Linked DNA regions of Schizosaccharomyces pombe. The gene in region 1 interacts genetically with each later gene. Each region holds a gene or a part of one and is shown in the gene's direction. Other genes may lie near its edges.

Region 1 (3,562 bases):
TTTGGATAAGTAAAGATTTGAAATGTTTGACTGTCTAAATACTTTGACACGACTTTACAAATATAAGTGAGCAAGTACTAACTAACTGTATTTTAGCAAGTCTCTATTTCACTGCTATACATGCAAATTACTTCTGGTGCTTGTCCAGTGAATCTGTAACCAATATTAAGTTATGTGGTCAATTTTAGTTGGTGTTTACTCATCATAACTTTTTCCCTAAATGCAACATAAAATAGTGAAAGCGGAAAGTATTAGACCCCTTTTTCATTGAACTCTTACTGTTACTCGTTGGACATGAAGCGTATGTATTTACTACTTTGCACTTCAAGATGGTCTAATTTGGCGAATGGTGTAAATAATGAAAGCGCAGAATAAATAACTGCTAATGTACAAAATGTTTCCACAATGGTTTGTCATAATCGTTTGACACGAAAGCAAAGAAAATTGCGCTGTGATTAAGTCTACTCAGTTAGCTCAAGAGATCAAAAGAAATAACAGTTTTGTCAGTGTTAGTGGTTTTAATTATGATAACCGTAACAGCTTTGACATTCTTCATAGCAGACGAATAATTGAGACTATTTGATCACAATAACTAAATTAAAGCTCTATTTTGAAGCGAAAGAGAAAAAGAAATATAGACTGCTTACCGTTTATTAAGCCTGAATTGCGCGATCAGTTAACTGAAACATATGGTATATTAAAAAGGAGAAGTCTGTTTGGCGTAAAGTCCAGCGAACGAGAAAAGCTTTAGAAAAGGGGAACGAAATCACTAGATTAGGATTATACCGTGACGCTGCAAGATCATCGTCTACTTATGGGAAGAGCCGATTTGCCAGTTAGCACGTATGGTTTTTCTGACGGATTCTTTGTATATAAAACATGTGAATATGTTTCTTTTGATATAGAAATAGCATCTACGTCTTTTACTTATTGGATATGGTTTGCATGCATTATAGCAACGTAGTCCTTCTTTGCATAATATGATGTGCCTTTACATTTTCTTTTTTTTTTCTTATTTACTGACTATATTTAAGGCAAGTCACTAACTGTTTCGATTCGCAAAATTAATGAGTACTGTTGAATGTCATATTTCACTTTAAGAAGCTTACTGAGTGAACCTGATTTTTGTATTTTCTACTAACGAAAAACTGCATTAACCACACAGTAACTTTATAGCTTTTCAAGACAAAATTACATACACCGATTTTATTTAGGCTGGTCATATATTTTTCAGTATCCGCGATATCTTCAACTAAGCTAATCATTATTGTCGTAAACGTTTTACACACGATCAGACAAAATTAAAAGGTAGCTAGGGTTTTGTCTACAGTGGTACTAATTCAATAACTGAAGTTGTATCCTTTGGACAAATGCCTAAAGTCATCATTTCGCGTTGAATTAAAATTGGTTAAGTTATGCAAAATATATACTAAATCGAATTTATTGAAACAGTCACAAAGATTGAAGACCTACCCTATATAATACTCAAAACTTGGAAATCTTAAGCGATAAATGAAATGAAAGAGTATGGTATGTACGAAACTACTCTAAGTAGATCAGCTCAAAACTTAATGCTTCATACGCCAGTTTGTATGTTTGAACTTTATTCATTTTGAGATTAACAGCCAAGAATTGTTGATTGATCCAACCGCAAATTTTGTTTGACAATACAATGATTTCTCACTAATTTTATACGGCTTTTTAAAGTGCTGGCGATGAGTAGTTTTATTATTAATATTATAATAAGGAGTTTTTGAATTAGGCATAATTTTGTAAAGTTAACAATCATTAATGTAGTATGGGTAGTGGAGTATAGACGTATTTATTCAAACCCTATCTTTGAAAAATTGCTATCAGACGAATACAACGTGGAGAATTTTTATTTTTATAAAACATTTAAGATAATTAATTAAAGTAGAAATTATACTCTGCAAAGATGAGATTCATTTCAAGAGCCTCTGCTTTTGTGATGCAACATATCGATATATCGCATCGTAAAGCAGCGTGGTAATTTTGAAAGGCTGTTGCTTACAGCGTGTCATATTGTATACACTGCAAAGAACGAGTTTGGACCTTTGGCTGTATGTCTAATTTAGTAAGATAAAAATCTTGCAATAATAAAGAAAGGAAAGTAAAACCTTTTAAAGCCTTACCAACGTTAGTCAGTAAACAATAATACCAAATAATGGCTCCCAAAACCAACCTCCAGATCAGTGTAATTTGTGCTTCGAACCAAAATCGAAGTATGGAAGCTCACAACGTCTTAAAGTATGTCATTTTTGAATTTTATGAGGTAGTTTGCTAATCTCCATTGAAGGAATGCTGGATACCAAGTTGATTCGTTCGGAACAGGTTCAGCTGTACGGTTGCCGGGTCCCAGTATTGACAAACCTAACATTTATCAATTTGGGTATCCATATGATGAAATTTATAAAGAGCTCGAGGCCCAGGATTCCCGGCTATACACGGCCAATGGATTGCTTAAAATGCTTGACCGAAATCGCCGTATAAAGCGCGCTCCTTGTCGGTGGCAGGACCAAGATTCCATATACAACATTGTAATAACCTGCGAAGAAAGATGTTATGATGCCATTTGTGAGGATCTGTATCGTCGAGGTGAAACATTGAATCGACCTGTGTACTTAATAAACGTTGACATTAAAGATAACCATGAGGAGGCCAGCGTAGGTGGAAAGGCCATTCTCGATTTAGTCAACAAATTAACCGAGGCACAGGATAAATTGGAAGAGCTGTTCCCTTCTATAATGGCCGACTTTCAATCTAACCATCCTAAACTTCCTGTATTGTATACTATTCATTTTTTTTAATATCATTTATCGTTACACGTCGTTATCGAATTTAATAAAGCATGTCCTTTCTCCTAGTATATCTACAACGTTCTAAGTAATAAACACAGTAAATTGGCAAGGACGCAAAGCTGTCAGTAATATTTTTAGATAGAAGATTTCTCTTCGCACTCGTTTGCCTGTTAATGTGTTTGGCAGTACATTAGGCATTTTAAAGACTTTTTCTTTAAAAATTTAATTCACAGAAAAATTATATCAAATTAATTTAGGGTCCAGCACGTCCTTGCCCATTGTATTAGTACAACTGCCTTAAGTTAATTTACACAGTCTATCTTTTTCAAGTCAGCGTAAAAGAAAGGACATATCATTTAATTCCCTGAAAAAGATAGAAAGCTCATTTTTTCCAACTTCTTTCCTCAAATCCCTAGTCTTAAATTTGCTTTCAAACTATGCAAAGTATTATTATTCGTCAATATCGGTTTTTAGCTCGTTACTTAGAGCCTGAATTTGTTAAAGGTATGTTAAAAATTGGTTTAAAATTAAGCTGTACAATTGCTTTGACCCACGGAAACAATGTAATCACCTCTAACGCTATTTTATAGACCCAGCCCTAAGGAACGCCAATGCGAGGCCACGTGAAAAGCTTCAGCGTTTGTCTCATATTCAGTTCAGTGAACTTTTAACAGACGTTGCTGATGAACTACAGCGTAGGATCAACAATGATCCCAAAGGTATTTTGATTTACACTCTTATGA
Region 2 (3,600 bases), on another chromosome or scaffold:
CAAGTGTTTCACATTGTGGTAATTGGATTGCGTCTTTATCTCGCTCTGGGCATGTCTTAATTCGAAATTCTGAAACCCTCGAGCTTCACCATGTGTTCCTTCTAAACGCTCAATTCATTCAAAAGGTTGTATACTTGTTATGGAAACCCAATTTAGGAGCAGAAAAATGCCATCAAATTTGTGTTGCCTCAGTTGATAAAGTGTTTGTATTAGATATTGTACAACACGATTATTATGCTAGCATACAGTGCGACCAGGATCCTTTGAGTAGTATCAGCTGGAGCCCGTCTGGAGAACTGCTTCTCTGGTCGTCCTTTGATGTACGTTGTATCTAATAAAATTTGCACAACTTTTTGCTTATATATCTGCGATGCTAATAGCAAATTTTTTAGTCGAAGATTACTGTGTGGTCTTTAAATACCCAGAAAGGTTATTTGCTTCCACATGTAAAAACCAATGTTTCGAAAGGTATTTCTTGTCTGATATATCAATTTACTGACTGTTTAGTTTACGCTTTACATCCATCCATGCAATTCTGTACTATATTATCTCGTTTTAACGGTTCGGATTGCCTTCAATTTTACCAAATCAGCAAAAAGGCATGGATACTTCTTAAAGAGTGTAAGCTTCCTACAATAGATTCGACGGGTATCCATTGGTCGCCAGATGGAAACTGGTTAGCTGTTTTGGAAAACGTATTAGATGCAGTTGTTTATATTTATCATCGCACCGGTCTTCTTTTTCACGAATATCGACCAAATAGGTTAATTGAAGTCGGCTTTTCCGATTTTGAGTGGAGTCCCTTTGGCAAATATCTAACTTTGTGCAGTTACCATGATTCAACCTTACATCTACTTGAAACAAAAACTTTTAGTATAGTTTTTCGACTTCACCATTGTTTGCAATATACCAATACTGACTTGGAAATGCATATATGGGAAGAGAAGGAAACAATCTATGAGCAACAAATGACTTATCAAAAAGTACATAAACTCAGAACCGATTTCCCAGAACCCTCCTTTTGTTCAGCATCAAAAATACGTTTCAACTGTGATGAGACGTATGCTGCTACAATTACTTCTAAATATCCTAATGTTCTTTGGCTATGGAATTTACAGAATAAAAAACTGCACACTGTTCTTATTCAAAAACATCATATAGTGTATTTTGAATGGCATCCAGGTCGTCCCGATTTGGTGGTCATTCAAACAAAAATTAGGAAAGAATCCAAAATTCCGTCTAATGCTACATTCCTATACTTCTGGGCTTTAAGTTGGAATACACCCAGGGTCGTTGGAGTTCCAAAAAAAGGTTTTAATATTCAGAAGGTTCAATGGCTTCAACCATCAGAATTCAGTTCTCGTCCAGTTATAGTAATTTGTGGTGAAGATGCATATACCGTTGCTTACATTGTGGAAGATGAAGATGAATCATTTACCGAAGTTACTCAAACTATAATTTCTCAAGAAGTTTTAGATAATGAGTTAGAAACAACGCAAACGATTTCCATACCATCTTAAGGGATTTACTTTCTATCTTAAAAGTCTTAATTATTGTAACCATTTTTAAATATTCTTTTTATTTTACTAACGACCTAATTAATTCGCTTAATGTCTATAATATTTTAATGCACGTTCATTGTTCCCGCATGTAAAACATGAGCACCCTGAGCACCCCGTCAGCTTAAGGCCTTTGCATACCTCTTATAGTTTGAATGTCTTTTTCAGTCTATTCAACTATCTTTTTCTAAATTTAGTACGTACTATTCCTGAGTTTTAATAACTACTCTTTCCTGATTCATAAATTGTAAACTTTGCGCATTTATTTGAGATTAGGGAGTCCTTTGAAAGATATTTAAAACTAATGCAACTTTTTCCCTTTATAAAAAGCATTGTTTATTCTCTATACTTACAGTATTGTTTTCTCATTTTGAAACATAGCGCATTTTACTTCGCCTCCGTATTTAATGCATATAGTTGATAGTTGGGTCCACTTCCACTATATCCTCATCAGATGCAACATTTCGCGCATCGATCGGGTTTATACTACAATTTGTATAATTAACTTTATTCACTAATCGTTGGGATCTTTTGTATAATATAAGTTAAAAAAATGAAACGCTCAAGCAGCGTTTCTGTCGAAGATGAGAAATCAGCAAGGAGAAAATTAGATGTCGTACCCAAACTTCATTTTGTAGGGTGCAGCCATTTAACGGATTATCATTTAATGGAAAAATTAGGAGAAGGAACATTTGGGTATGTGTCAAATATCTGATTTTGAATTTTATCACTAACTTGGTTCACCAGCGAAGTTTACAAATCGCAGCGGCGTAAGGACGGGAAGGTATATGCGCTGAAAAGAATACTCATGCATACTGAAAAGGAAGGTGTAAGTAGATGTTTGTTTAGATTCTTGTTCATTTTGACAGAATGACTTGGGACGCATCGACTTGATTGCGTTAATTGTTTTAATTAATTCATGAATAAATACTAAAGCATTACATTTTAGTTTCCCATTACAGCCATTCGCGAAATAAAAATTTTAAAATCGATTAAACACGAGAATATTATTCCATTATCTGATATGACTGTTGTTCGTGCAGACAAGAAGCATCGACGTCGTGGTTCTATATATATGGTGACTCCTTATATGGATCATGACCTTTCAGGTTTATTAGAAAATCCAAGTGTAAAATTCACGGAGCCGCAAATTAAATGCTATATGAAGCAATTGTTTGCTGGAACCAAATACTTACATGATCAGCTTATCCTTCATAGAGATCTTAAAGCTGCTAATTTATTGATTGATAATCACGGGATTTTAAAAATTGCCGATTTTGGTCTCGCACGTGTGATAACGGAGGAGTCATATGCAAACAAAAATCCTGGCTTGCCTCCACCTAATCGTAGAGAATACACTGGATGTGTGGTTACACGCTGGTATAGATCACCAGAACTTTTGCTTGGCGAGCGTCGTTACACTACCGCTATTGATATGTGGAGCGTGGGATGCATCATGGCCGAAATGTATAAAGGAAGGCCAATCCTTCAAGGAAGTAGTGATTTGGACCAATTGGATAAAATCTTTCGCCTTTGTGGATCACCAACTCAAGCTACTATGCCAAATTGGGAAAAGCTTCCTGGGTGCGAAGGCGTTCGCTCTTTTCCTTCACACCCTAGAACACTTGAAACTGCATTTTTTACTTTCGGAAAGGAAATGACTTCTCTTTGCGGTGCTATTTTGACCCTTAATCCGGATGAACGTTTATCTGCTTCAATGGCTTTAGAGCATGAATATTTTACAACACCACCATATCCAGCAAACCCTTCTGAACTACAGAGCTACAGTGCTTCTCATGAGTACGACAAAAGAAGGAAAAGAGAACAGAGAGATGCTAATTCACATGCGTTTGAACAAACCGCTAATGGTAAGAGACAGTTCCGGTTCATGACTCGTGGACCTAGCGATCCGTGGTATGGAATTCGTCGGCCAAATTATAACTCACAACCGCAATACCAACGTGGTTCGTACAATCGTGAAGGCGGTAACATGGATAGAAGTCGTAATGTTAATTATCAGCCTAAGCGTCAGCAAAATTTT

What was found. A genetic interaction does not mean that the proteins touch.
Region 2: of ssu72 (region 1) and cdk9, changing one suppresses a phenotype caused by changing the other (phenotypic suppression), as found in Schizosaccharomyces pombe (one study listed by BioGRID).

What each region holds. Positions count from the first base shown.
Region 1 is NC_003424.3:3,175,754-3,179,315, reverse strand, and holds ssu72 (RNA polymerase II CTD phosphatase Ssu72), read left to right. Parts: upstream 1-2,054; 5' UTR 2,055-2,185; coding exon 2,186-2,268; exon of another isoform or gene 2,269-2,317; coding exon 2,318-2,828; 3' UTR 2,829-2,889; downstream 2,890-3,562. Other genes in the region: spa2 (GTPase-activating protein), read left to right, coding at 3,257-3,323, 3,410-3,538. UniProt on the Schizosaccharomyces pombe protein: Processively dephosphorylates Ser-5 of the heptad repeats YSPTSPS in the C-terminal domain of the largest RNA polymerase II subunit (rpb1).
Region 2 is NC_003423.3:1,468,568-1,472,167, forward strand, and holds the start of cdk9 (P-TEFb-associated cyclin-dependent protein kinase Cdk9), read left to right. Parts: upstream 1-2,000; 5' UTR 2,001-2,112; coding exon 2,113-2,255; exon of another isoform or gene 2,256-2,306; coding exon 2,307-2,388; exon of another isoform or gene 2,389-2,508; coding exon 2,509-3,600. Other genes in the region: wdr8 (WD repeat-containing protein), read left to right, coding at 1-320, 393-468, 508-1,520. UniProt on the Schizosaccharomyces pombe protein: Component of the positive transcription elongation factor b (P-TEFb) which consists of cdk9 and pch1, and which phosphorylates the C-terminal domain (CTD) of RNA polymerase II and spt5.